2 linked regions of the Anolis sagrei genome follow. The protein of the gene in region 2 interacts with the protein of the main gene of each other region in a biochemical or structural test. Links are inferred from orthologs where the notes say so. Each region holds a gene or a part of one and is shown on either strand. Other genes may lie near its edges. The genes, in order: TIE1 and ANGPT1.

Region 1 (16,260 bases), about 160 Mb from region 2:
AAGAAGTATGGACCATGGATGATGGGACTTGTAGTACCTTCAATCACATCCTGAGGCCACTGCGACCCTCACCAATGACTGATCAAGACCAAACTTGGCAAACAGAGCCCCCATTACCCACTCTACATCGTGGTGTAGTTTGGAGGAAGATGGACCATGGATGATGGGACTTGCACATGGGAGTTGTAGTTCACACACACCCACTGAACCCAGCTGACATTGGATCTAAACTAAATTTGGAGCACAGACAAACAATGCCTTTCTTAAATAACCTGGGCACTGCTAGGTCCCCAAGCTAGTAAAAAATAAAAATAGCACCCAATAATTTTACATGCAACAACTGAAGTTGTTTCAAGGTTAGTAGAGAATGCATAAACAGTTCAAATTGCTAAGTTGCCAACAAGAAAAACAAATTAATACTTGGAATCTCCATGAAAATTTGTGGCAATTTTATCTCTTTCTTATCTTTTATGTAGCCAAACCAAAAATGGCCACCATATATTACACAACCATTGATACAATTCAAAAGAAAGTAAATGAATTCTGCAAAAGAGTTCCCAATTTCATTTATTGACAAACGTTTCAGAAATCTGCACATGGGAATGGTTAGCACATAGTAGACAATGTTTTCCATTTTATGTTGGTCATAAAAACATTGTCTGTTTTCAAATAGTACCTTATTATAACTTCGTCTAAAATGTCAAGCCAATCAATCCTCTTATAGAGTTAATGACCTCTCACATGAGTTTTCAGGGCACATGAATGGCATGGAGACTCTCTGCTGATTTGATTACTCACATGCGGTGCATAAAACCAAAAGAAGGCATTTAAAATTACTCTAGCCAACATGAGATGGTATATAATATAAATCATGCAACACAGTGCTACATGGTATCACAATGAAAGACCACTGTGAGCTCAACAGCATTTTATTATGTACTATAAACAATATCACATGCAGTGATAGGATTTAGTGGTTCACATATATGGGGAATAGAGTCTATGGAAGATCATGCCATATGCTGGTCTTTAAGGCACCACAGGATATCATGAATTGAAGGGGCCATTTTACTTTGTTATTAGGTTTTTTTTTCTGTAGTAGGCTAACACAACAGCTACCCCTTTAGGAGAGGAATTTTAGGCTGTTGTAAGCCTTATATTCAACATTTGATACTTCTCAGAAACTTATAACAATGTGAAAAACTAACTGTATACAAAACATTCAAGATAAAAAATACAAATAGCACCAAATAATTTTACATACAATCACTGAAATTGTTACCGAGGTTAGTACAGAATGTATCACCAGTTCAAATTATACATGAATGATCAATGAATATAAATGGATTTCTGAGTTTTCAACAAGAAAATAAAATTATCAGTTTGTGTCTCCATGACAATTTATGACAATTTTAGGTCCGGGCTGTGGCCAGCTGCATTAAATCACTACTGACCAAGAGGTCATGAGTTCGAAACCAACTCAGGTTGGAGTGAGCTCCCAACCATTAATAGTCTAGCTTGTTGTTGACCTATGCAGTCTGAAAGACTGCATCTGTCAAGTAGGAAATTTAGGTACCGCTTTATGCAGGGAGGCTAATTTAACTAATTTATGACAACATAAAACCTTCCAGCGGCATGCATAAAAATGAGGAAGTACTCCATCAAGGACTCGGTGTCACAAGTGGACGGTGAAGTGGCAGCTCCCCCTGTGATCAGAACCGAGCATACCCTCATGAAGCCGGAAAGCTGGAATGTTAAATTGCCTCTTTGTCTGTCTATATATGTTGTATGTCTAAATGGCATTGAATGTTTGCCATGTATATGTGCATTGTAATCAGCCCTGAGTCCCCTGCGGGGTGAGAAGGGCAGAATATAAATATTGTAAATAAATAAATAAATAAATTTATGACACTATGTGCATCTTGCTGTTGGGTCTGTCTCCTCCCTTGCAAGGTTGTTATGGAAATGAATGTGCTGAATACCATAAGGTGTATTTTGAAAACTACCCAAGGTCTTCTAAAAACTATTAATTAAACAATTATTCTCTATGTGTATATGTGTGTGTGAGAGAGAAAGCGAGAGATGCAAGGCCTTCAAGTAATCTTAATCTGTTCCAAACTCTAGGGCCAATCAATACTGACCCCATGACTGATCCGGCGTAGTGTATGCCAGATCAATCCGGTATGGTGTTCACAGCTACTACTCCTGTGCATGCAGGAGGGAGTCCCAACCACCCAGCGGTGCCAAACCTGATTTGGAACCACCAGACAGCCATCCTTATCACTCCTTCCTGTTCTCCATGTCATTGTGGTTGTTCGACATGTCATGGGTCCTGCCAGTCAGCAGTTGCCTGTACTGATGCCAGCCTGGGCAACAGGGTGATAAGGCAGGAGGGAGAGGAAGAATCACCCACTCCTCTCCACCTCTCCCCATCATCCTGGCTGACATCACTGCAAGTGATAATTTTCTGGCAGTACCCATGTCATTTCCAAATAGCTCTACAACATGGAGAAATAGAGGAGATTCTGAGTGCCATCTTGTGCCCCAAAGTCACATACATTGTATGGCACTGTAAACAACTGTAGCCAATTCTGTTTTGGAGCCATCCCAACTGTTTATATGGCACGAAGTTGAGGGTTGCTCCAAAATCAGGGCACGAATTCAGAGTATCCCATAACTTTTGACTGCCATGGAGCTGATCTGGGTGTCCTTCACAAAATGTAGTCAGTGCAGATGTGGCTCTGGTATACTCTTAGTTTGAAGACAGTGTAGTGTATGCCATGAGTGTTGGAGGGGAACTCCAGAACAAGAAGATTTTAATCCCTAGCTATGGAAATACACTGGGTGACCTTGGGCGAGTCACTGTTGGTCATCCCCTCTAATTAATGATGCCATGAAAACCCTATGACGAGTTTGCCATAAATTAGACTCAGCTTGAAGGCACATGACATCAAAATCATCCAAACAAAACTAATAATCAGAAATGCAATTCATTTTAATCCTGACTAATACAGGCATATACACAGGTAATAATTATTCTTCTTGTTTTTCTGTTTAGTAGACTGAAACCAGGGGAAATCTATATAAATAAAAATGTAATGTTCTTTTCTGGGATTAACATAACTCAAAAACCACTGGACGAATTGACACCAAATTTGGATACAAGACACCTATCAAGCCAATGAGTGACCATCACTTAAAAACACAGCAGAAGGGACTTAAAAAGCAAAAAAAAAAAAAAACCATTACAACGCATGCGCATACACATACACACGCAAACACACATATATACACAAATATGCACACACGCATATATACATACACAAAAAACGTACACAGACCGGGCCACAGCAACGTGTGGCAGGGGATGGCTAGTAAAAAATAAAATATGATGTAGCAATAAAAATTTATCTAGCAACTTTCTTAACCATCCCCAAATTATCAGGATTTTCAGCCTTGTGGGGTTTTGTATTTTGAAGTCTTAAACAATATTATGTTAGTAAAAAGTATAAGTAAAAGACAGGAGCTGCAGTGGCACAGTCGGTTAAACTGCTAAGCTGCAGCACTTGCTGATCGGAAGATCAGCGGTTCGAATCTGTGGGACGGGGCGAGTGCCTGTTGTTAGTCCCAGCTTCTGCCAACCTCGCAGTTCAAAAACATGCCAGTGTGAGAAGATAAATAGGTACTGTTTCGTCGGGAAGGTAACAGTGCTCCATGCAGTCATGCTGGCCATATAATCTAGGAAGCATCGATGGACAACGCCAGCTCTTCGGCTTAGAAATGGAGATGAACACCACCTCCACAGAGTTGAACATGACTAGACTTCATGTTAAGGGGAAACGTTTGCCTTTTACAAGTATTATTACTACAGCTGGTCCTCCACATTTGTACGTTTGACTTTTGTGGATTTAAGTTATTACCAATCATATCTACAGGTTTGTTTTGTCAATCATCATCAATCTCCCATTTTCTTAAACAACAAACAATCCAGACTTCTTATTGTTGTTAATGCGCATGACACTCTATGGTAGAGAAATCCTTGCCACTAAGAAATTGCAATCTAAGATCTATGACATTTTATTATATATTGGTTTTATAGTATACATATTATAGTAGCATTACCAAAACTGGCATTCTACGTCCTAAGATGAGGAGGAAACTTAGTTCACAATAACCTTATACAATAAAGGTGATTTTTGCAACTTTTGTATTGGTAGATGCTATTGCAATATTTAATCACATGCCTTGCTTTCTCTTGTCTGAATTAATTAAACAATGGAATGTTTGTTTATTGTTTAGGAAGGTAAGACTTTTTGATTGTATGTATCTAGCTACGTAATGTGTTGAGAAATATTTTGAATTTTGTATTGTTGTATAGTTGTATTAATAAAAAAGAATTTTGGAAAACCTCTTAGCACAAAAATATGTGCCAGTTAGTGCTTGGTTTGTTGATTTTCCCTAGCACAGAAGGAAGTCCTTATCTCATACATAAAAACAATATTATTCTTTTGTCTACCCATTCAGCATAGTTTGGAAAACAAATAACTAAACTACTAGCTAAAATATTTATCCTTGTATTTGACTGAATCTGGAATGGCAATTGGAGATAGTTTGAATAACCAGACTATTCAGAAACAGCCTTTTGTAACATTCCTTCATGGTAACCATGGTATTGTATTGTAGGTATTGTAACATTCCTTCATGCTAACCATGTCATTTGAGCACTTACGCAGTTAGTAAATTCTATTATTTTAGACTAAGAATCCTAGAATTTCCTATCAGGCACGAGAAAAGAGTAATCTCCCATCTCTGATCAAAATTTGCATATGTAATTACTTCCCATTTCACAATTGTCTACGTGTCAATTCTGCACTATTTCCTGCTTGAAAGTTGATAAATTATTCAGAAGTTGGACTTGTAATTTTACCTTAAGTCGCGTATCTAACTGTACAATGCACTATCTAGAATGGTGCCTTGTGCTGTAATACAATTAGATTCTCCTTCTGCGGGTGAACCTGCACTATAAAATTAATGCAGTTTGAAACTCATTGAATCAATGCTATGGGACCATGGAATTTGTAGTTTAGCAAGGTACCAGAACTCTTTTGCAATGAAGGCTGCACTGGTGAGGCAGCCGGGATGGATGGGGAAGACACTTTATTACATTATTTCCATTAGAAAAAGGGACGTGCCAGGAACTATACAGTGGTAAAACCCCGCAAAACTCTACTGACCATAAATAAAAGAAACACATGTACAAACATGAAGTACATCAGGGGCTACAATGTCTCTACCTTCCCTTTTTGATCTCTCTTAAAAACTGATACCAACATGGCAGCTTTTCCTTTCACTTAAACATGTGCTTGATTTGCATCACAAATGGCAGCAGGAATTATCTCAGAATGTCCATTGCGCAGGAAATACCACTGAGCTGACTAGCATCAGGGAGACTGTCTTATTTCCAGTCTGCATTCATCATACTCATATCTGGATGCCATGATTCAATCTTTGTCAATCCCACCATGAATCAAACCAATCTGTATCATCTGGACTAAAGAAGAGATCAGAACTATCAATTTTTGTAATTCCCCAATGTCTCAGTGAAGTCACTGCCTCAATAACATGGTTCAAGTTATAGGTAGGAATACATCTTTAAACAAATATTTCTGTGAAGTTCAAGTTAATATGGAAAACAGATAAAATGCATTCATGAGAAAACAGATATGAGACTGATTGAAAGGAAAATCATACTTACATCCATTATTACCGCTTTGCATGGGTTCAGTATTATGTTGGGAGAGGCGCAGCACATTAAGCTATATGTTATAGCCCTCTCCAATATTATAGCTCTTTCCAAAATTATCCAATATTTAACGGATGAAAACCAGGACATGTGTGTCCAAGCAATATCAGTGTATGGTCAAGCTGGCAAACATTATTAATGAGGAGGAACAGAGAGGCTAAGAGAGACTGCAGCAGTTTGGTTTTGCCTGAGCCTACTGGGAAGGGAAGGCCATTATCCTCTTCTGCTGCTTCCTGGATGCTTTTTTCTTTGAATTCAGGCCCCATCCGCACTGCCATATAATTTGGTTTTGGAATCCAGATTATTTGCTTTTAACTGGATTATATGGCAGTGTAGACTCATATAATCCAGTTGAAAGCAGATAATCTGGATTCAGAAACTGAATTATATGGCAGTGTAGATCCAGCTGGTTAGCTGAAGACAAAGGAGGAAAGGGAGAGAATTAGTAAGAAATTGAGATTTTGAAAGCAGCTGGAAAAGCAAGGCACTTTATTAGGATTTTTTAGGACCATTCCTGTCAAATTTGGACAGTTGGAAGTATGCAGTTTTTAGGGTAGCACTGAGCAGTTAGACAATGCACCTTTAGATTGTTTTAATTAGGGGTTGCTGGAGAGCACCATCCTGTCCAGCCACCTAAAATCTCAGATCTCTCAGATTTTGCTAAAGGCAGGTTTGATCTTGCCACAGATTTCTAGTGACTACCTCTTCCAAGGGCCCATTGAGGTAGTGGAGGCTCCTTCTTTGGATGCTTTTAAGCAGAGGCTGGATGGCCATCTGTCAGGGGTGCTTTAAATGCAAATTTCTTGCTTCTTGGCAGAGGGTTGGACTGGATGGCCATGCCATGAGGTCTCTTTAACTCTATGATTCTATGAGGCTCCATTTTCTTTGGCACTAGAACATTTCCCAGGGTGGGAGAAAGTAGAGCATATGTATGTGACCACTAAACCTTTTGAAGACCCTTATCCCACCTTTCTTTTTTCTTTTCTTTTTTTGTACAAATCTGACATTATCTATTACTTCTGAAGTCTGACAACAAATCATTAGATGTATGACAGTGTGTGAGGAAAGAAAGTAAATAGACTATGAATAGGATAGTCAGTATCTTAGCCACTGTGATAGTCTTTGTTCAGCCAGTACAAAGACCTTTTTCTTTCCTCCAGATTTTAATTCTTTTAGGTTTAAAAGCTTCTTGCTGATCGATACACAGCTGCTGTCCTCAACTATTGCTTCTACCCTTGGCTTTAGTCTATGGCTGATTTAAGTTTGTTTTATGCATTAGAGATAATGTCTTATAGTTACAACTTTCATGGTCTAAACCTTAGGCATTTCTATACTGACTACTTAAAGTAATTTTCAAACTGGTACTGAAGAAAGGGGTTTTGCTGTGCAGATGAATACATACAAAATCCCGGAACCAGTTTGAGGTTGAAATGGGGATTATACAAACCACAGAGCACTGATGTGCATTAAGGGCTTTCTTTCATGCACTATCAAGAGCATTTGTTGGCTAAACACTGCGGTTTGAAACTAGCTCTGAACTGCATTAAATGGTCAGTGTAGCTGTGGCCTTATTTTTGGAACTGATAACTGAGCTTCAGCCAGTTAAACATATAAAGGAAATACAAGTAACTGAAATAAATAAGAAAGGGCTTTACCTGCCAGTTGTAATAAGAGGCTTAGAAGGCAAATCCTGTCCAGTCCCATTTTCCAGGATGCGCTCAATGTCAGGAGCATTCAGGCATCACTAATCCAGAAGAGGGAAAAGCTCACAGAGGGAATATTTGTCATTTTTCATTCCCAATATCCATCTTCTCCACACTTGGCATGTCTGTGCCCTCAAGTCCTTTGTAAGAACTGAAAGGAAGTTCACACTAGACTAAAGGGATGATGGGGAAGATAAGTTTTAAGAGGAAATGTTCTTGGCTTGCGCCATCAGAGACCTTCACAAAATGTCTCCGCTGAGCTTCATGGAGAAAATCTCAGGAAATGAAAAAGTGGCTTCATTCTAGCTATCCAGAAATGCTGGGTTTCTGTTCAAGGAAGCCCAATTGCCCTGGAAATCAGAGTGCCACTTCAAAAAGACCTTCTGAGCCCAACATTCAATGCCATATGTAGCTTTGGAGGAGGTTTAATCCTGCTGTTTCTTCCATGCCGACCAGGGAGCATTGGGATAGGGACAAAAGAAAAACTCTGGGCAGCACAGGAATGGGCTATGGGTGGGAATGGACTGGGCAGGACATGAGCTGGAAGAGTCTCCTTGGCTGGGGTTCAGCTGGGGCGGGAATGCCTGGAGGCCCTCACCAACAGAACTGCAATGACATGAAATCCTGTTTCCCATACAGCGTTTCCTGCTCTCCACCCATTGTTCCTTGCATATCTCTGCCTCTTCCAGGGGGGAGCAGCTTGAGAGGTAACTGGGCTGAAATACTAATGTTGGAGTGAAAAAAGACCACAGCATTCACATTTTCTACATTGAAGGCTGAGCGGTTTGAGGAGCTCTACTGCTGATTAACCCTACTGCTGATTAATCTATAACCCATGAGGCAGTTAACTGTGGTCCCAGTGGTGCAGTGGGTTAAGCTGCTGAGCTGCTGATCTTGCTGATTGAAAAGGTTGCAGGTTTGAATCCAGAGAGTGACATGAGATCCCACTGTTATCCCCAGCTTCTGCTAACCTAATAGTTCAAAAACATGCAAATGTGAGTAGGTCAATAGGTACTGCTCCAGCGGGAAGGCACTCTATGTAGTCATGCCGGCCACATGACCTTGGAGGTGTCTATGGACAACACTGGCTCTTCAGCTTAGAAATGGAGATGAGCACCAAACCTCAGAGTTGGACAAGATTGGACTTAATGTCAGGGGAAAACCTTTACCTTTACTATTCACACCGCAGAATTAAAACAATTTTGATACCACAATAATTGTCATGGCTTAATGGTATACATTCTGAGATTTGTATTTTTGTGAGCTATTCACCCTTCTCTGTCAGAGAGCTTTGGTGTCACAACAACAAACTATAAATCTCAGAATTCCATAGGATGGTGTTATGACAGTGATGTCAAACTACTATAATTTTGCAGTGTAGATGGTCTCTGCATTTCAGTTGGATAATGCAGGGTGGGCCTCTATGAAGCAATGACCCAGTCACTTCAGTCTGGTCATGAGGCTACACATTATCTGGGTATGTCAAATGATTGAAGCTGCATCCACGTATAGGTTTGCATGGAACTGAATTCTGGGCCCCTAAGATAGAGCTACTTTCCTGTGTTCACTCTCCCAGTATAGAAAAAGATTGATGTATTGTTGAAGGCTTTCATGACCGGAATCACTGGGTTGTTGTGAGTTTTCTGGGCTGTATGGCTATACAGCCTGGAAAACTCACAACAACCCAAAAGATTGATGCTTTATAAAGATGTGATTTGACTACATCCTTGGGCAGTTCACACTCTCTCAGCCTCAGAGGAAGGCAAACATAAGACCCCTGCCCCCAAACAAATTTTGCAGAGAAAACCCTATAATGGGGTCTCCTTGGGGTTGCAATAAGTCTGAAATGACCTGAAGGCAGACAACAACAGCAACAACACAGGAGCAATCTCAGGGAGGGGCTTTACAGAAAACAATAGCTGTAAACATGTTTGGGAGGAAGTCTAAGGACATGCTTAGCCAGTTTTCACTTCCACACTCCTAGAACTTGCTTACAACCCAGTAGTGTAGTCACATCATGGCTTATTTCAGCTTCTGCATGCAATGAATAACACTAGTTATGGGGCACAACAGAATGGGATAGAAATGCATTAGCTTTCAGTGTTAACTGTTTGATAGGAACGTGAAATGAGTTGAAAGAGTCCTCTTTTTCACTCTGATGCTTTTTCTAGCTTTTTAAAAATGCCTGGTTGGGAAAAAGATGTTGGCCAAAGTTGGGCTGGCTCCCTGAAGCAGTGCTGGTGCTTTCCCATTGACTTATCTATGGATCATATCAAAGTTCATAATTTTGGCCTCAAAATCTGTGATTTATATTTGAGGTCAAATGAGTGCAGTTGAATCTTACCATTTTCAGATTTAACTTTTGCAGGTTTCATTATTAACAGATTTGATCATAACGTTCTCCCTAGGAATCTCCAGGGCTCTTTCTACACTGCCATATTAAATCCAGATTATCTGTTTTGAACTGGATTATATGGCAGTGTAGACTGATATACTCCAGTTCAAAGCAGATAATGTGGATTATCTGATTTGATAATCTGGATTATATGGTAATGTAGAAGGGGCCTAGGTCATCTGATGCAACTCTTTCTGCTGGAAATCGATCACAGTCATTCTGAAGGATTTAGAGATTCCTAGAGAAAACATCTCTTTATAAGTCTCTTGGTCCTTCTGTTTACCTATTCTCTCAGGTTAAAAAAAGCAGTCTTGTTATTTAAAATTCTTCACTTTTGTGTGGGTCCTGCATCCCTAACCTCAGTGAATGTCAAAGACTGTATTATAATATGTGTTATGGAATTTCATGAACCTGGAAATTGATGCTACCTTGCTGGTCCTTAGTCATTTGTATTATTAGAATTAATGTTTGGAATAAAAATGGGAAATCAAAGCAAAATTAATTTTGCATCAATTGCCTGTTAATTTGTATAGATATCAAAGATGCTTCTTTAGTGGCTGTGGGAAACACAGGCATTGCTCATAGCAATTTCCAGGCAAACTTTAGGACCATTGGGAAGAAAGCCAGATATGGACTGGGTGGCCTGGCACAGTCTGAGGCTACATTTTATCCCTCTGGAAATCTAAAGCAAGCACAGGCAGGAAAGGGAAATTCATTCATTGTTTCCGACTATTGATATGGAACTCAGGAAATCAGGTGCCCTTGTGGAATAGCAGCGTGGGTGAAATACAACAGGCTCAGGCTCCATCTTGCCACTCCAGATTCTACTATTTGCCTTCAGCATCTCTGTTGTGATAACTCAATGTCTGGTGAAGCATAGAATAGCACGGTGTGCTTCTTAAATAGTTCCTCTTCTTGACTAGTCCATTGTGTCATGTGTCTGCCATAAAATATAAATTACTTCACAGCTTGTTTCCTTTTCAAAAAAAACACATAGCTTTTTGTGTTTCTTTACTGAACTAATACTGAGTGGGTGCTTAATTGGATACATGCATAAACACTACCACCCCCAATTTGGGAATGGAGTAGACCATCTGACCATGACCCTTTAAGTATGCCTTGGGCCTCCTGAAATGGAAAGTTAGACCATCTTCAATCACTGAGGACCAGACAAGAACACAACCTAAATCATCCTATTTGGTTTGAGAAAGTACCTCTCTCATGCAAACAACAAATAGCCAGAGAGAAGGTGGAATTACATTGAATGGAGATAAACATGTGGCAAATAAGATCTGAGTATACAGTCCCAGAGAAGGGCAGGTGGTAATCAGTGATGGGATTGAGAATTTCTAGCACATACTCTAATAGAGCGTACATTTATGGTTGTGTTGCCGAAGTCCTCAGCTTTAGAATGGAAGGCCAGTGTTGCACTGCAAAACCACTTTCCTATAAATGAACCATCAACTGGAGTATATTGTCAGGTGACACTAGCATGTTGATATACATTTCTGATGGAACCTGCAAAGGGCCCCAAGGCTATTTTGATCAGTTGAGTGATTGAATGAGGCCAGAAAGAGTTAAACCGATTGGATTTAGAAACAGAATCATAGAGTTGGAAGAGACTCCATAGTTAGACTCCATCTAGTCCAACTCCCTGCCATGCAGGAAAAGGATAAAGTACCCCTGAAAGATGGTCATCCACCCTCTGTTTAAAAGCCTCCAAAGAAGTAGTGTTCATTATACTCTGGGGCAGAGAGTGCAACTGCTGAACAGCTCTTACAGTTAGGAAGTTCTTCCTAATGTTTAGGTGGAATCTCCTTTCCTGTAATTTGAAGCCATTGCTCTGAGACCTAGTTTCCAGGGCAGCAGAAAACAAGTCTGCTCCCTCTTCGTTATGACACCATTTCACATATTTATATATATATCATGTCTCCTTTCAGCCTTCTCTTCTGCAGGCTAAACATACCCAGCTCATTAAGATGCTCCTCACAGGTCATGGTCTCCAGACCTTTGATAATTTTAGTCGCCCTCCTCTGGACACCCTCCAGCTTGTCAATATCTCAATTGTCAATTGTGCTGCCCAGAAATGGATACAGGTGAGGTCTGACCAAAACTGAATAGAGAGGTACCAGGACTTTCCTCAGTCTAGACACTATATTCCTTTTGCTGCAGCCCAGTGGCTTTTTAGCTGCAGCATCACATTGTTTGCTCATGTTCAATTTGTTGTCCACAAAAACGGCAAGATCTTTTTCACATGTATTGTTGGCGAGGCAGCCGCCACCCAGTCTGTATTTTTGCATTTCCCTTTTTTCTGCCTAAGTGTAGTATCTTACATTTGTCCTTGCTGAAATTCATTTTGATAGTCTTGGCCCAGCTCTGTAATCTGTTAAAGTCATATTGAATTCTTTTTGCTATCCCTCCTAAATTGGTGTCATCTGCAAGCTTGATAAGCATTCCCCTTAATCTTCATCTAAGTCAGAAGTCCCCAAACTTTTTATACGGGGGGCCGGATTACTGTCCCCCAGACCGTTGGAGGGCCGGACTATAGTTGTTTTTTTTTTTTAAAAAAAACAATGACCAAATTCCTATGCACACTGCACATGTCTTATTTTGCTACTGTTATGAATCGTAATGTAAATATCTGATATGCAGGATGTATTTTTATTGTTACAATCTGAACATAAAGTATAGTGATTAATCACAAAAACAATATGTAATATACATTGTGAAATATTTATTTCTAATTACAAATAAATGAAATTTGGATTTCAAGCATGTCACAGCATGTGTAACAGTCTTAATATAACAGCAGGGAATCCATTTAAAAAAAGGGAATCCATGAATATGTTTACTGTTCAGCCTACAGTGAGGACAAAACTACATCATTTGTTTGTAACTTGGGGACTGCCTGTATAAGTTGGGTCACAGGGGGTCACAGAGACGACTGTACAGAAGAAGAATACCTGGCAAAGTCAATGAAAGATTAAATGTCTCTGATCTTGAATGCTAAGCAGGGCCAGTTCTGGTTTGTATTTGGATGGGAAGCCACAAATGAATAGCAGGTGTTCTATTTCAGAGAAAGAAACTGACAAAAGAAAACCCTATTAAATTCATGGGGCTGCCATAAATAAAAGGAGAACTCTACACACACCCAACCATGGGCTGCTGAAAGCAATATAGGTATACATAGAAAAAGATAGCTTTCACATTTCTGAAAATAAAATAGTTCCAATGAAAATGAGGAAAAATATATATTTTCTGTCATTTTGAAAGTGGTTTTTTGGAATATGTAAGCATGAGTCCCCTTTCTGGGGGAGAAGGGCAGGGTATAAATATAGGAAATAAATCTATATAAATAAAAATGTAATGTTCCTTTGTGGGATTAACAGAAATCAAAAATCACTGGACACTTAACAACCCAATGTATGTCCTTCACTCAAAAAATTGATTTTGACATTTGGGAATTGTAGTTCCTGAAATTTATAATCAAAGAACATTCTGAACCCCCCCCCCCCCTACAACAATGGAATGGAACCAAACTTGGCACACAGTTCTCCCATGACCAACAGAAAATACTGGAAGAGTTTGGTGGGTAGTGTCCTTTGGTTTTGGAGTTGTAGTTCACCTACATCCAGAGATCACTGTGGACTCAAAAAATAATGAATCTGGACCAAATTCTACACGAATACTCAATATGCCCAAATGTGGACACTGGTGGAGTTTGGGGAAAATAGAATCTTGACATTTTGGAGTTGTCGTTGCTGGGATTTATAGTTCACCTGCAATCAGAGAGCATTCTGAATCCCACCAATGATGGAATTGAACCAAACCTGACACATAGTTTTCCCATGACCAACAGAAAATACTGGAAGGGTTTGGAGGGGAGTGTGTCCTTTGGTTTTGGAGTTGTAGTTCACCTACATCCAGAGATCACTGTGGACTCAAAACAATGTTGGATCTGGACCAATCTTGGCTGGACCAGGCTTCTCCTCCCTCCCTCCCTCCCTCCCTCCCTCCCTCCCTCCCTCCCTCCCTCCTCTTTCTCTCCCCTTCCTTCTTTCCTTCCTTCCTTCCTTCCTTCCTTCCTCTTTCTCTCCCCTTCCTTCCTTCCTTCCTCCCTTCCTTCCTCTCCCCTTCCTTCCTTCCTTCCTTCCTTCCTCTCTCTTTCTCTCCCCTCCCTCCCTCCCTCCCTCCCTCCCTCCCTCCCTTCTCTCCGTGGGGACACCGGGCCAGGCACCGCCTCCGATTGTTCTCCTGCACAGTTGGGAGGGAAGGAGGTGTCTCGTGGCCACGGAGAACAAGAGAGCGCAGCAGAAGATCTGCGGCCATGAAGCGCCTGCTGTTCCCCTCCCAGCCGTGCGAGGAGAACCAGCGGAAAGGAGAAGGAAGGGGAAGGGGAGAGAAAGGGGGAAGGGGAAGGAAGGAAGGAAGGAAGGAAAGAAAGAAAGAAAGAAAGAAAGAAAGAAAGAAAGAAAGAAAGAGGGAGAAGCCTGGTCTGGCGCGACTCTGCCTGAAGCCACTCCGGAGGGAGAGAGAGAAACGGCAAGGGGCTTTGTGCCACCCAGCCCAGGCCACGCGGGCCGGATAAATGCCCTTGGCGGGCCGCATATGGCCCGCGGGCCTGAGTTTGGGGACCCCTGATCTAAGTCATTAATAAAGATGTTGAATAGTACTGGCCCCACTAGTCACTTCTTTCCAGGATGAAGAGCAACCATTGCTGAGCACCCTTTAGCTTCAGTCGCTTAACCAATTACAGATCCACCTAATGGTAGCACTGCCTAGCCCACATTTGACTAGTTTGTTTGCAAGAAGATCATGAGGGACCTTGTTGAAGGCCTTACTGAAATCAAAATATGTTACACCCACAGCATTCCTTGCACTTGATGACAAATGCCTCTGTCTTGTCTGGATTCAGTTTCAGTTTGTTCTTCATCCAGCCATTATCTCCTTCAGGCATTAATTCAGAGGAGATGTGCTATCCTTAGCCGAGGCTGTTTTTGAAGGTTGTTGATAGCCACCACTATCTGGAAGAATTCTAGGGATGTGAAATTCTTTGACAATCAAACCTGGCTCTAATCATAAGTCTAGGCTACAGCACATCACTTGCCTTGCTAGAATAAGCCTGGTTCATGACTACCTAGAACAGTGGTTCTCAACCTGTTGAGGACGACTCCTTGCCTTCAAGCTGATCTGACCTGCAGTGGGGAGTTCTGAAGTTCTCTATTGCCTGCTTGGGCCAGCTTCCATGGAATGTGGCCACAGCAGCAGCTTCAATCAAGAGACTTTCTTTCTGCTTCACCCTCTTCCCCTACTTAACATTGTAACAAATCCCCCCAATAAAGTATCAATTAATTGTAACTTTTTTCTCTCTATAGTGTTACTTTGTGTCCTTTACTGCCTCCAAACTCTTCACTTCATAAACTTTCTCTCTCCCGAGTTGCAGACAGCTGCTAGCCCACCTGGGATGCGATTTTCGCGTCCTGGGGAGGCCGAAACTGTGTTCCTCTGAACCGCAGATATGGAAACCCATCGAGTCCTCGTATCTGTGGGTCAACGGGTTGCTCCAAAATCAGTGCCATTCTTTTCCTAGACTAATTCTAAGACTAATGGCTATCTTGCTTTCACTCCGCTAACCCCTCTGCCCCGGGAATAACAATTTTTGCCTCCAAACCTCAACATGGAGCCCTGCTGGCTCCCCGCTGCCATGACTTCACTGTCTTGTTGATGCCTGGAGAGCCTGTTGACCTGGGGAACCTGTTGCGGTCATCCCTTGGGACCTCCAGGAAACCGATATGCCACCCTGGTCCTTGACAAGATGGGATCTCTAGTTTTCTTCATTTTCCAACATGGATCTCGACCTCCAGTGCTGGCAGTCACTTTCAAGGACTTAATGGACTCAGTGGAACCTTTCCAAGTTTGCTCCCATGGATTCTGCAACTTTTCCTGAACTTTGATGAACTTTTAAAAACTTTTCAGAAACGTTTTCCCCCAAACTGCATGGACTTCCTTTATGATTTTAGACCTGAAATGAACTCCGGGGGAGGAGGGGGGAGGGATATGAATTTTTCCACTTTATGAATGCATGCCTTATGAACCCCATATAAGTATCTATGTATAAAATATGGAATGTCACACTTTTCGTACCCCAGCATGCCAAAATTTTAGGAAATTCTTTTTCATATCCTAAGAAGGATTCCCCATTGATTAGAACGACTCAACAAAGTCTTCTTGCATGGACAGAAACAATGGTGCCCCTTGAAGCATGGCCATCTGAGAGGAAGCACTCTATGGTGACTCAATCACTCATCAACAAAGAGACATCTTGCCTTCAGGAGCATCTGGGTGCCCCATCCTCCTCA
Region 2 (16,819 bases):
GTGGTTGAACAGACAGAATTCCAAACCCTTCAACTGTCCTGAATCGGCAGGGATAATCCTAATTAATCCTCTGCCATGCCATTTTCCAGCTGCTTTTGAAGTATCCCACATTCCCTCTGCTCTTCCTTTTCCCTTCCTTGTCCTCAGCTTATTTTAATCATTGCACTCTGAGTTCAAGGTGCAACTGTAATTTGAACTCAATGAACTCAACAGTGGGGAGTATTGCACTTCCCAGGTAGCTCAAACAAAAGAAAACTCATTCAGGCTGCCTTTGTTTCTATATTCTTCCTCATATCATTTGCCATCTTTACCAGACCTGGATGTGAATAGCCAGATGTGTCCCAGTTCTGTTCTGTAAATGTTGAACATTTCTAGGGTTTTACAGTTTAAGCATTCTGGGCCCTTCCACACAGTCATATAACTCAGAATAACAAGACAGAAAACCCTGCAATATCTGCTTTGAATTGAGTTATCTGAGTCCCTACTGCCATACATTCCAGTTCAACCAGATTTTATTCAGCTGTGTGGAAAGGGCCTCAGACTTCCGCACCAGGAAATGCGAATCTTCTAATTTGGGCTCCTTCTAAATTCAATTCTTTTAAACTTTCAAGTTCTTTCTATCCTGAATAAATTTACAAATTTTGCAAAATTGTTATGAAAAAAATGAATTGAAATTTATTCCCATTTTCAGGTATAATGACATCAAAGCTGTTACACCTTGAACAAGAGAATTTATTGTTTCAGGTTCAGAAAGGAACAGGAACAGCAGTAGAGAAGGAAGTTAGAAAGAATCGCTTTTTCAAAATGCAACACTCTGGTATTGAACAAAGCTAATGAATTTGATCTGAGAATATTATGGAAAGAATAAATGAGAGTGTGAATGAATGATGCAGGTGCTGGACTGAAAGATCACACATGCGCCATGGTTTCTGTTGCTAGGGTTACCATTTCTTGCGTCTGAAAATGTTCAAAGCAGCTGCTTTTATTACAAAGATATCATGCAAAACAACCATGGACCTTATAAAATAGATCAAGTAAAACAAAAGTAAGAGGCAGGGTTTTTCTTTCCACTGCATACATTATGTTTAGATTATTTAGTGATTATTCAGTGATTATAAATAGAAATCAGAAGCATCCTTATATCATCTGCAACTTTCATAGTTTTTGTTTAAAGTGGTAAGATAATATGAAAACTTCCCCAAGGCAGGAGCAGAGAAAACAGACACCTTCAGTCCCTGTATCGGGAGAAAGGTGGGAGAAAAGTAAAATTTAAAACAAAAAGTACATAAACACATAAATAAATGAAACTGAAAAGGCACAAGGTCATGCAATTTTGTGCACAATTTTATGCACAATTAAGAAGCATAAGTTACATTTACTAAAGCAAAAAGGGTTAAGTCTCCCACTGAAAGCAATTAAGATGTTCAGTAGACACTAACAGCGTGATCCTCTGGGTTTTTCTTTGAAATAAGTCCCATCCATGTGGAGTGAAGACTGAACTCCTTGGTACATGTGCCTGCCTTTGTTGGGTTATTTTGTAAATCAGGGTTGGAGAACTTCCAGATTTTGATTGACCACTATTCTCATCATCCATCGACATTAACAACAAGGGTGGCAGGAACTAATGGAAAATAGAGTCCTGGAATCTCTAAAAATCATATTCCTTGATTTTTTTTTCCATGTCAGGAGCGACTTGAGAAACTGCATGTTTCTTCTGATGTGAGAACATTGGTAATCTGCAAGGTTGCTTGGGGGTGCCAGATGCTTTTTGATGTTTTATCATCCCTGTGGGAGGCTTCTCTCATGTCTCTGCATGGGGAGCTGGAGCTGATAGAGGGTGCTCATCTGCACTCTCCCTGGATTCAAACCTCCAACCTGTTGGTCATCAGTCCTGTCAGCACAAGGGTTTAACCCACTGCACCATGGGGGGCTCCATATTCCTTGGTGTATCTTGAAATATGTGTCTTGATATTCTATCTATCAGTGAATATAAACATTTCATCTTTCCTACTTCCTTGTTTTCATCAACCATCAGAGAGCACAGAGGCAATAATTCTAGGGATGCTGAGCCTGGGGATTAATAACAGATTTAAATGCAGCAGTTAATAGCTTTGACAAGCATTTGTGCTGATCTGTTGCTTTTCAGTAGTATGCAAACACAGCAGCCTGCTGATGAGTTTATAGCAATCCAAATGAAGAGTTACAGACACCAGTTTGAGACATGTGGTAGTTCTGACAATAGGTCACTAGGGTGCTATATTGTCATGAAGGATACCATAGTAGAAAAAAAGAAAGGAAATATATAATGCTTTCAGTGTTTTATACCACCTAGCTATTCTGTGTTCTATTTATATTAGGAAATGAACTTCATTGACTACTGGAAAGCTATTGGCCCAGGGCATAAATCACACGAGCTCTTAAAGACAGAAATTCCAAGAATAGTAGCTCAAGTTTCATGCCCTAAATATCAGGATACAACACCTTTCCTCGTGGAATTACTGCTGAAATAGATGACCCATGTCATCGTCTTCATGTAGGAAGTAGAATATTTAGGAAAGAATATAAAAGCCTGAAAAAAGAACACTAATTTTTTTGCATGTAGTATTATTAGCAGAACACAATTGACTTAATTTATCACACTCACAAACATTAACTAAAGTGATCCATAGCCCAAATCTATAAGGTACTATATATTAAATCCAGAAACAGTTTCCAGTAAATGTAGATTTCCCCAGTGTATATTCTGTGGACACACCAAAGACAAGCATCGGAAGCAGAAATCCAAAACCAGAGCTCTATTCCTCAGTGATAGTATGTGACACATGGACACTTTCCAACATCAGCTAAAGTTATCTAGAGCTGGAATTGGTCAGAAGGGTCAATGCCACTTTAATTTCCAACCTCAGAATGTAGGCTTCAGTTTGATACACTAAAAGCAAGAGATTCAGATTTTCACAGTAAAGAGTGTATTAAATATAAACATGGTGGTATGACATTCACACATACGTTACCCTCCAGAAGTGGCTGAACAGCATCATAAAGTTTAATTTTTGCAGCAGTGCACTTGGCCTGTGCATCTCTAGCCTCCGTTATGGAATTCTAATCCTAGAATGGAGAACATAGGGAGAAATTTCGGTCACCTTAGATAGGTGGTTCAGTAATGGGTAATCCTCCAAAATGTTCCTGGGCTGCTATTCCCACAGTCCTTCACCATTGCTTATGCTGGCCATGGCTGATGAGAGTTATAATCCAACAACATTAGATGGAAAGAAAAAGGAAGATAGAAGAGGACACATGTAAAAGGAAATCTATGTATTGGAAAATGTGTTGGGGAGCATCAAACATATTTTGTACATACTTCTTTAGGGAAAAAAAGCCCCCCCTCAAGTGATGAAAGGAATATAATTCCACTTGTCCTCATCTACATACAGTATGACCCCCTATATCTGTAGTTTCATTTATCCACAATTCCTCAAACTGTTGGAGGGCCGGATTATAATTTGAAAAAAAATGAATGAATTCCTATGCACACTGCACATATCATATTTGTAGTGCAAAAAACACTTTAAAACAATATATAATTAAAATGAAGAACCATTTTAACAAATATAAACTTATTACTATTTCAATGGGAAGTGTGGGCCCGCTTTTGGCTGATGAGATAGGATTGTTGTTGTGTGCTTTCAAATCGTTTCTGACTTAGGTTGTCCCTGAGCGAGGGCCAGGTAAATGACCTTGGAGGGCCAAATCCGGCCCCTGGGCCTTAATTTGAGGACCCCTGCTCTAAGCAAATTCTAAGTCCTCCACCATAAATTATGGTATGTTTCCATTGGAAGTTGGGTTGTGCTGAAGGGCCTAGAAATGTTGGGTAGTTGTTTTGTTTTATGCTTTTTTAAGTTTGCCAGCACAATTGTATGTTCTACTTCTACCCAAAGTTGTTCATTTCAATCGGATTTGCTATGGTCCACAGTTTCTTCTTTCTATATGAAGTCCAGGAATGTATTCTCCAAGGATATGGAATTTTTTTTACTATATTTTGTATTAAGTATTCATTGTTTTGTGATTGGCATTGGAAGGTAACACAGACTTTATTTTCAAGCCCAATAGTGAAGGTACATAAGTATTTCCTCAATGTTTTGGCTCTCCCTGGGTGAAATAAAAGAAAAAACTACAGTGGATTTGGAGATGAAGGAAAAAGGAGGTAAATGAAGCTTTCTAAATTTCTATGCAGAGACAAAACACCTCCTGAAATAAATAGGTTTGCATGTGTCTAACCCAAAAGAGGCTAAGCCAAATGTGGCTGAAGCTCAGGCATAAATGACTTCCACATTCGCTCTTTTTGTGGAACCACTATTTGCTATTCACTTACATTCTAAGACAAATCCCAGTGATGGTGTTCTTGAATGATTGTATTCTGTTTTCCTTCTGTTTTTAAAAGAATGGATTTATTGGAATTATTACATTTTGGTTATAAAATGCAGTCCCAGTCTGTCCAATGTAGTCTGAAGAAAGCTTTATGAGAGCTTTTAGGGAGAATCATTCCTTCGAAGGAAAGCTGAAATGCTATTTCCAGGTTCAGTCCATTTTATTACTCTCCCTGGCCAGCCCAGAGGAGAAATAATTATTGCATTTTCAGGAATTTGAGAATCTAAAAAACTGGGTATCCTGGACTATATTTTCATCAAATGCTCATTTTCTATTATCCACATTTCATTGGGGGAAAATCCCTGACCCTCCATGGAACAAGAGAATTATTTTTTTCAGATTATTTTTGTAAATGGAATATCTTGGACTAAATGTAGAGCTAGCTATTCCTATTAACTGTGGAAGTCTTTTAACAACTGTGACAGTCCCATCAGTGAGTGTGTCTCGAGTGTCTTTATATAGAGAAATGGAAAGATAGATACACATGACTGTATTTCCTATATATAAAGTACTCTTTCTTTTTACAGGGCTCAGAATTTTCCTTTTCATGATACTCATATACCCAATGCATGTAGCTAAAGTCTGCATATAAAAATAAATATAAAATGTTGGCAACCAAGGAGTGTATAAAAATGTAAGCGATCTTTCATTAATAAGCTTCCTAGCTTAAATAAGAAATAGCTGCAATTCTTGGATGTGAACTTTGTCTCCCTCTTTGTCTCTTTCCCCCCCTGTGTCTGCAGAGTTGTTTACTTACCTTCTAATCCTGGGTAGCTGTCTTTTGCTTTAACTAGTGCTGTTTTTGTGCTCCAAAATAATTCACAACTGAGTCAGGAATGGACAGGCAAGGCATATTGGGGAGTAAAGGCAATGCCCATGTGGTTGGAAAATAGGACTGAAAATGATTTTCATCATAAATGTGTTTTCTACTAAGCCATTTTGAGTTGTTTAAGATGAACTGCATGTGGAGGGGATCACATATTTGAAATCTTCCCTTAATGCAAAACTCTCAAAATGTGCAAAATTAGCATTTCAAGGAAAACAGATTTTGAGAAGAGCTTTCTACTTTCCTTACATTGCTGCTGTGTAAAGTACATCTCTGCATCTAGTGTGATTCACAACTTTTACATTGAATGGCAATATAAATGGACCAAGGTGGGAGATCTGCAATGAAAAGTGCAATGAGCAATGCACTTCCATATATAATGTGCATTCATGAACAATCGATCCATAAGCACAACTCATTTTCTGCAACTTTGGACTGAACGAAGCTTCTCTTCACCAGACAAAAATGGTAAGCACTTCCGTAGGAGAAAGTATGTGCATGTTAGACACCATTAGGATTCAAGCCTATCTCATAAGTCGTATTCTGAAATTATTGTGATTAATCTCCTTCTCATCCTATTTTTTCAACTGCTTTCAATTTTTTCCCAGACAAAAGCAAACTGCTGCAGATTTTCTTAATTTATACACTTTTCTGGTACTGTTCCATTATCTGGGTGGAGGCCAAAAGGGGAGTCAGAGGAAAATAGTCCATTTTATGGAGGAAGGGGAATTGAAGGAGTAATACTGTTTTCCCCTGTTTTCCTGTTATCCCCTCCACCCATATTGCAATTATCAAAACAACTCTAGTTTATTACATGGGAAGCGGGGGATAAACAATAAAAATGAGGAAAATGTTTTTTCTCCTTCAACTCCCTCCAGCATAAAATGGACCATTCTTTTCTGTCTTGGACCCCTTTTGGAGTCAATCTGTATAATGGAACAGTACCGCTTTTCCTTATTAATAACTGCTGCCATCATGATTATTCTGTGATATTGACCACGTCAAATACCTCATCTTCATCTGTGGTATGTTGAAGGGTATGCTAGATCAATGGATTGTGATCCACTTCCTGCAGTCTGGAGTTGTACATTTTAGTCATACAAGTTAGATCGTGCAGTCTTACCCAACCATGTCACTTATCCAAATCAGGCCACATAATTAATATTTTGCTTTTATGTAACTGGCTCCAAGTTCATGTGTCTACACCAGTAAATAAAGATACAGTAAGACCCACACTGCAAATAACTCAAGCTTGTAGAGGGAAATGGTCATTCTAGGTCTTCTGAAAAAAATGTATGGTGTGCTTGTCTGGTAGTTATCATACAGTTGTTGTGGGAGGACCTAGGAAAATCCTAAAGAGGATACTTCTCTAAGAATCTCTAGGTCCTTTAGCACAACCCTATGGTATGCTGTGATCAGAAGTGAGGTAATTTAATGGCATTTGGTTGTGCCTGCAGTTTCACATAACTCGAGTATTACACTTACTAAAAGTGCTCTTCATCCACTTGCAGTTTTTGGTTATAATTTATTTTGTCCCTATAAAACATTATCTCTAACAGTACAGTATTTGGTACATCAAATCTGTATGCATGTTGTGATGAATTGCCTACCTCTTAGGCCAGAGGAAAACTCAAGAAGTAGGCCCAAGTATTTCAGCAGCCATTTTGTGAGATGGTGCATGGAGGCAGCCATCTTAGAGTACTCATTTCCTAGAGGGGGCGGAACTTAAGAGCAGCCTGGAGGAAAATGTGGAGAGCCTTTGTGATTGGCTGAGAGAAAGTGGGCAGAGTTTAGTTAGAGTGCAGAAAAAAGTTGCCTGAAAGGGTGCATTTTAAAATCTGACAGTTTAGTCAGGGTTTCATGGTTGAAGAAGAAAGTTAGGTTTTGGGAAAGTTAGGAGAGGAGAAGTTAGTGAAGCCAAAGTGGTTAGTTAGAGAAAATTGATAGCTATTAGGAAGAATAGCTAGTGTTGAGATAAACAGATCCAAGGGAAAGGACTATTTGGTGTTTTAGGAATTCTAAAACTAGTGAAGTCTGCTAGTTTGCTAACAGAGTGAAGAGTTGTTTTTGGAACTATGTATTGAACTGTTTTAAGGAATTATAAGTTTCATCTCATTATTGCAACCGTTACACATAAGTGCCTGTATTGTTGAAGTTCACACAAAGAAACAACTTTGTTCTTTGTTCATCAACAACTGTCTCAGTGTGTCTCTATATAAATAAGTATTCTTCACAAGATAGGGAAACAGAGTTTCCAGATTGGTGGCAGCGACATTTTAAAGGAATCTCATTGTTATTCACCTCAGAGTTTTGAGCCCTGAGTGTGAATCCAGCACATTCCAGCCTAATTAAACCTCTGGTCAAACAAGAACTGAACTTTCCTTTTTAAATTTGGTGGTAGCCAGTGGTCACATGAAAGTTACCTCAGAATACAGTGTATTTGTGGCAAAGTCTCTACAGCCTCCAAGCATTTAAGCCATTTTAAACAATAATCTATCACACATGTGTTGCTCACATTAATTTATTTGCCCTTTATTTGAATGAAAAGGCATTCCAGCAAAAAACAGCAAATGCAAATAATAACCTCAGTTCAGCCATTGTCTTCCTCCAACTTCTGGTAATCAGGAAGTCCTACCACTCTTCCCTACAGCCCTAATTAGCCAATTCTCCTGCCTTTGTGAGTAAATGTGACATTCAGAGATGTTTCAAGGGGCTGGCCACCCACCCTGAGTGGATGCTGAAGCAGCCCATTGCAAACCCATGAATCGGGGTTGATTATCCTTATTGGACTCCAAGAGGGAGAGGAAAATCAACATTGCTCATCTTCTGTCACTGCACCACAAAATAGCATGGATACAAATGAAACAAATCCATGGAGGTTAAATCTAACAGTAGTTATTAGCAATCATGACTAAATGAATCCATAATGTTTAGGGAAATTATACTGTGAATTAGGTTTTCAGTCATAGGATAATTGTAACCACATCCCACCAAAAATGCTTGCAATTCTTTTTCAAATCCTCCCACTCCACATGACAGTAAGAGCTCTTCAGCAGACTGCCCCAGAGACCAGTGAGTTGTTGTGTTTTTGGATGTCTTAAACAGAGTCTGGATGGCCATCTCTCAGGGTGCATTCATTATATATTCCTGCAGGGCTGGTGTTGGGCTACATCGTTTGTGGTATCCATTCCACCTCTACAATTCTATCATCCTAATCTGTTATGCTCCCCCGCCCCCACTCCCCTGATTATTTGTTTTGTTTAGGGATAAGAATTTGGCATTAAGTGAAGTTTACACACATCATAGTTTAAAATGTCTGCTATTCAAATGGACCAACTGTGTGTTAAAGACAGCTTAGTTCTACCTCTAGCCCTGTTGTACATCTGTTATTTTTTTAACTTTTTTCTTGTAATAATAGGAAACAAGGTAGGAAGAGACTGAATATTAATCTTCCACAGGGTTGCCATGATTTGAAGTCAACTTGACTCAAGTTAGCAAGAACATCACCCACTGAAAAATGACCAAAACCTTGTCTAATGCATTTGTTGTATGTGATATGGCATTCCAATGGATAAAATCATGCACACCCAGAATTTGCGTGTTTATGTATGTGTATATCTCTGCTTCAATCTAAACCAAGACTGGATCTACATTGCCATATAATGCAGTTTCAGAATACAGATTAACTGCGTTGAACTGGATTATATGGCAGTGTAGACTCAGGCTGGCTCTACACTATCCTATATCCCAGAATCTGATCCTAGATTATCTGCTCTGAACTGGATTATACTACACTGCTATATATTCTGGGATAAATAGATAATCTCTCATCAGATCCTGGGATATAGAGCAGTGTAGATGGGGTCTCATATAATTCAGTCTGATTCATTTAGGACCTCTTAACACAGAAGTTTTTTAGCCCTGTTTTTCCAGTTGTCGATGGGGGCTGGACAGGATCTACCGAGTATCATCAGACAATGGTGGCTTGGCCCTACTCTCATTCCTCCCGAAATGGGGGGAAGCATCACAAGACACTTCCTCCTCCATGGCGAAGAGGAAAGTGTTTTTTCAGGTAGGTCTGATGGAGCTACCTGCACTTTCCTCCACTCCCCTTAGCAGCAGCCCCGTGTGTTTTTCCACAGGACTGCTGCTAAGACTTGCCATTTAATCCAGTTAGCTGCAGTTATTTCAAGAGAAAGGAGGGCTACAAAGCTCCCATCATGTCCTTGACAAGTTGCTATCAGTTCACACATAGTAAGGTGACAAACGTTGAGAAAGGACTTGTTCTACTTCTATAAAAGTTGCTAATGGAATGTCACACAGAGATTGGACTTTGTGGTATGATAGGCTTTTTGACCTAAGGTGTTCTTTGTGGTGAGCCAGCACTTGCAAGACATTTCTGTGCACAGAAAATGAGAATAATCAGTGGAACACTCCAAATATCTAGGACACTATTTTAACACATTTGTTTTGTCATAATTAAGTGCAGTGCAGCATATCAATTCATACCATTGGATGTGATGGGCTTCTTTCTTAAAAAGCATCATGCTAGTCTGTGAAAGGAACAGCAGGGGGAAAAAAACTCTGGTCATCAACGTTTAATGTATATTCAAGCAGCATTTGCATATGCACATAGCCACTCGTTGGATCAGGGCCCAAGTGCCTGACATCTTGCAATTGATGGGAAAACATATTTTAATTTTTGCATCATCAGCTATATATATGTGGTTATTCTTGTATCAACATGCAAAAGAGGAATGTATGAATGACATTTTCCTGGGAACTGTTTGACAGCTTTTGATTTAATCTTATCTATTGCTATGGAAATTATGGCTTAATTAATCAAAGCAGAAAAGGACTGATTTCGTTCCAAGGATGATCTCTATTCTGTTAACATGCATTTCCTTCCCCAGACTTTGACTTATATCACAATCTACTCTCTGATTTAGCCTTTCCGAAGAGAGCCACACAGCCACATACTCATTATACAATAGCAGATATTTTCCATGTGCAGCGGTCTGTATGTTAATGTTTACTGGGGTGGGGGTTAGTTTATAACAAACTTGGACCCAGTAAGTACATTTTAATAGTTCAGTCTGCCCATAGGAAGTCTATTAAGGTGGACTGTTTGACTCATTAAATTTTGTCAAAGGCTCTCAAGTTGTCTTGTGTGCGGGAGGAGCCAAGCAGCAGAGTATGTCTGAGGTTGTGCTTCAAGCCAGGAGTGTAAGATGATCTCTCTCTTTCCCGAGCCCATCAGGCATCCTTTAGCATAGGGACACACTCGCACACACATTCCTATCAAGTCATCTTGTGAAAGACTGCCGGCTTCCAACTTGGCTTGAGTGTGCAACCTTAATAAAACACGCCAAGGTCTGCGAGAAAATAGCAGTTCAGCCGCAGCTAGGGCAGGAGAAAGAGACTGAGGCTATGCCTAGGCAGCTGACTCAAAGACGCTGCATGCTGAAGTGTAACAGAGAGGAAATGATAAATCCCAGCTACTATGCAATAAATTGCTCCAGCTTCAGCTAAGGAAGCCCTCTGTTATCATGAAATAGTTTTTTTAAAAGATAGTTATTATCTTAATTTTCTTTTCTTTACCATTTTGTTCCCTTAAAGAGATCTTTAAAGGCAAAGCAAAACAAAACACAAGAGGGAAAGGAGTGAAAGTGTTTCTGTTCACACACACAAAAGAGGGCTAGTAACATGACCGTTCTCCTTGGCTTTGCTTTTCTTGCTGCTGTCCTGACTCACATAGGCTGCAACAATCCACGCCGGGTGCCAGAGTCCAGCAGCACAAGGAGGTATAACCGGATTCAGCATGGGCAGTGCACCTACACTTTCATCCTTCCAGAACAGGATGGGAACTGTCGCGAAAGCACCACTGAACAATACAACACCAACGCTCTCCAGAGGGATGCCCCTCACATGGAGCAGGATTTCTCTACCCAGAAACTGCAACGCCTGGAGCATGTCATGGAAAACTACACTCAGTGGCTGCAAAAGGTAAGTGCTTCATCCCACCCCCACCTCCCACAACTTCTCACCCACGTTGTTTTGTGTTTTGATGTTTGCATGTCCTAAGCTTTTCTGATCCAGGAGGTATTTCTCATGAGGTTTGCATTGTATATATGGTTAGCAAATGTCATAGTGACAACATGCTGTTTGTTGTGAGATAAACTGAGAACAAAGCTTTAAGCAAATTTCTAGATTTTTTCCCCTTTCTCTTCTAGACTTTGTGGAAGAAATAGTCTCTGCCTATCTTGCATGGATAGCTATAAGTAATTTTACCTTGACAGACCAGGTCCATATCTCTATTGGCATATAGTAGAAGCAGGTTCTAAAAATTACACACCTTAAGTTTGGATGCATATATTGTCAATTGCTTTGGCACAGACACATCATTCCAGGTGGATCAAGATAGATGGAAAAGATGCATTATTTAAAACTGAAGTTATTTTCATTTATCAACAATTTTGGTTGAAACTTATGCTAAAGAAGTTGTATTTCTGATAAATGAATGAGTTAAAATAATTGCCCAGTGTATTGGGCTATAAGAAAGAATTGTTGGGATATTTCATGTGTGGGAGGAAAGAGGGATTGGGTTAAGCAAAAGCTCAAATTGATTAGTAAAATGTGCTTAAATAAGAATAATAACACAGCTGGAGGTCCTGAATAACATATGCCCCATATTTCTTTGTAGAAATCTGGCTAGGTGAGGGGGGTACCTCTCACAATTAATCACTGTCATCCTAACATCAGCTTATAATCTGAATTATACAAATCATTTCATCCTGAACTGAGAGACTGCAGTGTAAAAAGCAGCAATTCTAAGATCTGCTAACAAGTGGTTTGGATTCACTTTAACAGATCTTGGAACAAGTTCAATCTGCCAGGGATTCTGCATTTTTTCTAATTTTCAGGTGCAAGTCCCCAATATGTGTATTATATTATTAAAACAGCTGGATGGAAAAGAGAATCCTATGCATGTTTCAAAAAGTTAAGTTGCACTTCAAAAAAAGCAAAAATAAAACTGTAAAGTAAGACTCATCATGATCAATACGATTTACTTCCATGAACACTGCATAGAATCTGAAGCTTTTGGTACAATATTTTCTCACTTGGGATGAACCATAGATATAGAAGATACTAGAGCTTGTTCACATTGGGATTTTGGGACTATAGCTCCCAGATTCCCCAAACCATTCTTGGCACAATAGGAGAGAAGTATACTCTATATTCCCCATGAAATGTGAAAGTCCTCCACCTTCCCTCTGAACCCAAAATCGTTTACTTCTGAGCAGAAAAGTGCATGGTGCATGAGTCGTTTCTGAAGCTTTATCATTGAGGCCAAGCTGTCATTGAGCATAGCTTTGGGCAGAGCTATACTCAATGAAGTTCCTTTTCAAAGATGTGGAGGGAGAAGTCATCTAGCTCAACCCACTGCTCAATGGATATTGTGGAATGTAGGAGGCACCTATAATTTTCTTGACTGTCAGTGATCAAACCTTTGCTAAAATGCTCTTTACCAAGTCCATTAGCCCAAAGTGATCTGTTCTACTGCTGAAATGATACTTAGGAACTTTCTTCTAAATTGTGGTCACTATCCACCACCTTGCCATTTCCACCTTCAGTCCTACCTTCTGAAATGAAAGTGAAACTTTTCATATGGCATTCCTTCCTATGTATGAAAGCGGTTATGCACCATTGAATTTAACAAGGTTTGGTTTCAAGTAGACAGTATAGAAGACTGCATTGTGAATGATCTATAATGAGACTCATCCGAGATGAGGACAACTAAAATGATCAAGGATCTGGAGAACATGCCCTATGAGGAGTGGCTTAAAGAGCTGGGCATGTTTAGCATGAAGAAGAGAAGGCTGAGAGGAGACATGATAGCCATGTATAAGTATGTGAGATGAAGTCATAGGGAGGAGGGAGCAAGCTTGTTTTCTGCTGCCCTGGAGACTAGGACACGGAACAATGGCTTCAAATTACAAGAAAGAGATTACATCTGAACATTAGGAAAAACTTCCTGATTGTGAGAGCTGTTCAGCAGTGGAACTCTCTGCCCCAGAGTGTGGTGGAGGCTCCTTGTTTGGAGGCTTTTAAACAGAGGCTGGATGGCCATCTGTCAGGGGTGCTTTGAATACAATTTTCCTGCTTCTTGGATGGCCCATGAGGTCTCTTCCAACTCTATGATTCTATGATTCATTTTCATTGAGAATTCTCTTCCCTGACACATTGCAGCCTACAGAACACCTCTGAAAGAAAGCACTTGCTTTTTGTGTTTTGACGTAATCTGTTTACAATTTGATGTACCAAATTTCTTTTCTCTTTTCATCAGCATGTAAACAATTTCACTCAGAAGCATAGCTCTTGGATTTCATAGGGGGGAGGATAGCAAACCAAAATGGCTAGACAGTCTTGAAAAGATTTACTCAGAAAAATAAGCCCTATTAAATGGGTGAGAGTTGCTCTTAGTTCAGTGTATATGTGCATGTGTGGGTGTATGGGAGACTGTAGCCAGCAACTGAAACCAATCCTAAATAGATTCTTTTGGAAGTTGGTACACTGAATTCAAGGAGGTGATTACTTCCAGGTTTTGTGGTGGTGGGTGGGTGGGGAAGAGTAGCCTGAAAATTGCACATCCAGTTTTAGCAAGTAAAGGACAAGAATGAAGAGGTAGACACGGGAATTTTTGTGACATAATGATTGTTATTTTGAGCTATTTTTTTTATTAAAAAACCCATTATGTCCAAGAGTAAAAGCTGTTTCCTGGAGCTAGTAGTGCAGTTGGAGTTGTGTACATTTGTATGCATCTTTGTGTGTTGGCGTACATGTATGCTTTTACATTTGTTAAAAAAAGGTTGCCCTGCAAAATTTCATCTAATGGTTCCATGTTCTGTGTTTGACCACTAGGGACTGAGCTAAGCCCACTGTTTTGCCTGCAAACTGCAGAGGAAGAAAAATGACTTTGGTGGGGAGACCTCCTCTAAATTGCCATTGACCCTCAAGTTTTAAGAGAAAAAGATAGATGGTTAAACATGTAGTTAGTGACAAAATGGTATCTTCATGGCTCACATTCTTCAGCGGTTATCTGAACTTTGAAAGTAGGTGAAAGGTTTCCCATTAGGTCCTTTAAAAGTAGCAAGTGGTCAGAGATCACATATCTTTGCTTTTCAGTTTTTGGCAGAATGAAAGGACATGCTTTCCAGGGTGTCTGTATTTGGAAGTGGGCATTAGGGAGGGACAAAATGGGTCATTTCAATGCATTTATTTGTGTACATTGTAGCCTACATCACTACATGAGCCACTCATTGTTTTGCTGCTGTCGGCGCAAACCATTTAAACCACAACTTTCCCATCCAAGAAATGAAACTTTAATTGGAAAGAATATATACTTGAGAACCATCGAAAGCTGCAAAATTAAGGTAATGTCACCTAATAATTTTATGCTAAAGTAATCCGTTCCAATTATATATTTATATTTATATCCCACCCTTCTCCCCACAAGGGGGACTCAACGCGGGCTCACATGAGCATCAGAGGATGCTAACAGCATAAATACCATAAAAATTACAATTCACAATAAAATCATTTTAAAACATTATACAATATCATCAGTAAAATTTAACAATAAATTAATAAATTAATGTGCCAGTAAAACCAAGCCGAGCCGGGAGAATCCAGATTGCAAAATCCAGTTGTGTTAGTATTTGAATGTAATATAGCCAAAGATTGAGTAAATGGGAAATACTAGTCCCAGAGCTATGGCCAAAGTACATCATTATAATTGTGTAAAAAACCCTATCCAGGTTTCTTACATAGTGGGTTTTTTTTAAATCAGTGCTTGTGTCTATGTGCACTCTTAAATCTTTGCTGTAGCATATCACACTCATTAAAACTATTTAGCATTAGAAGACATCAGAACATATTACTTCTATTACAACATATCCCAAACACAAGTTTTGTAGAGCTTGGAAGGGAGACGGACGACATAAAAAAGAACTGAAGTATGGATTGTTTAACTAGGAAGTTGACATTGCAATGGTCTTAGCTTAGCTAATCTGGAAGAAATGCAGTTTGATCTTTTTTTAAAAAAAAAGAGAGAGAAAGAGAAAGAGAGTAGATTTTGGAAAACAAAATAAATATTTTAAAACCCTTCTTGCAATGAGCTGTCACTTCAAATCCCGCTGAAGAGTTCCGTGCCTGACTGTAAGCAATTAAGTTTGGGTGTCGTCCAGTGAAATTTGCATATCCTTTGTTGATGTTTAAGTGATTGGTTGGACAAGGGACCAAGTTAGGAGTGTCACAAAGAGCATTTTTGCTGAAACTACCAGAAGATGATAGCTTGATAAACATATTTGCAGCTTTTCCTTGTGGTATTTATTTTAAGAAGAATAACTTCACTTATCACTTAACCTTTGGTTTCACAACTGCCATGTTTCTTCTAACAGAGTAAAACAGACTACACACTGTTGTGTTTATTTCTTGCAATAACTGGCTATCATACAGCATTGAAATGCTTAGGTTGTAATTTCCTTGTTTAAATATAGTCAAGGAATAGATTTCTGTAATTTTTAACTTGGCAACTTTTCAGGATTTTTCTTCCCCATGCTGAACTTACCCAAATGTATTGTACAACTACAAATGGTTTTGCAACTATACAGATGTGTGTTTATCAAAGTATCCCTCTGCACACTGTCTGTGTTTGCATAATATCTAGAAGAGAAATGGATAAAGTAGAGCATTGACAAAATGTGACTAACATTTTTAGCAATTCTTTTATTATCTACAGAAAATTAAAAAATCCAGTAGGTCTGGGCTTATTAAGATATGGACAGAGTAACACAGGGAGCTGCCTTATATTTAGCTGGTCCATTCGCCCATGTAGCTGGTATTTTCTATGTGGCCCACATGGATTGGCAAAAGATGGCCCATGGGATCCATGTGGCCTAACCTGTTTTTGCAGTTGCCAGTTCCCCAAATAATAATCCCTCTCACATTTCAAAAACAGGAGAAGCTGTCTTTTAAAGGGTGGGAACATGAGCCATCTCACTGACAGCAGTTCTCCAGGGGTTTAACCAAGGGTCTTTTCTAACCCTGTCTTGAGATCCATGGTATTCCCTGCTGGTGGACTATCCAAATACTAACCAAACTAGTCATGCTGAAATTAGAAGCAAAGTGGAGTGAACTGCTCTCCTTCAAAATTCCATAAAGTGCAATTTATTCTCAAAATGAAGTATAGGACCTTCACACCTTGTTCCCCCTCATTAAGGTCAGTGAAGGATAAATTTTATTAATGTTTCCCCTGTTCTACCTCCTTAGAAACTGAAGTTATGAAGGACTAGTTCCTGAAGGAGGCTGGCACTTGCTGTAATTCCAGACCTCCCCCAGACTTGGTTTGATACCAAAAACTGACACACATCAATGCTATAAGATAAGCTATATTTCTGGTAGATTATGCAGCAAGAGAAAGCACCACAATCCCTCAGCTGGTGGGGTCCAGCATTCCCTCACAGCAGGTGGTATGACTTGGCCCTAAACACTAATGCTATCCAGACT

The links.
Region 1: the proteins of ANGPT1 (region 2) and TIE1 interact in a biophysical measurement, tested with the Homo sapiens proteins (2 studies listed by BioGRID and IntAct, with this or other methods). The link is inferred for Anolis sagrei from reciprocal best matches to the Homo sapiens genes ANGPT1 and TIE1.

What each region holds. Positions count from the first base shown.
Region 1 is NC_090024.1:183,095,472-183,111,731, forward strand, and holds the start of TIE1 (tyrosine-protein kinase receptor Tie-1), read right to left. Parts: upstream 8,083-16,260; 5' UTR 7,538-8,082; coding exon 7,459-7,537; intron 1-7,458. UniProt on the Homo sapiens protein: Transmembrane tyrosine-protein kinase that may modulate TEK/TIE2 activity and contribute to the regulation of angiogenesis.
Region 2 is NC_090024.1:27,697,929-27,714,747, forward strand, and holds the start of ANGPT1 (angiopoietin-1), read left to right. Parts: upstream 1-10,467; 5' UTR 10,468-10,957; coding exon 10,958-11,257; intron 11,258-16,819. UniProt on the Homo sapiens protein: Binds and activates TEK/TIE2 receptor by inducing its dimerization and tyrosine phosphorylation.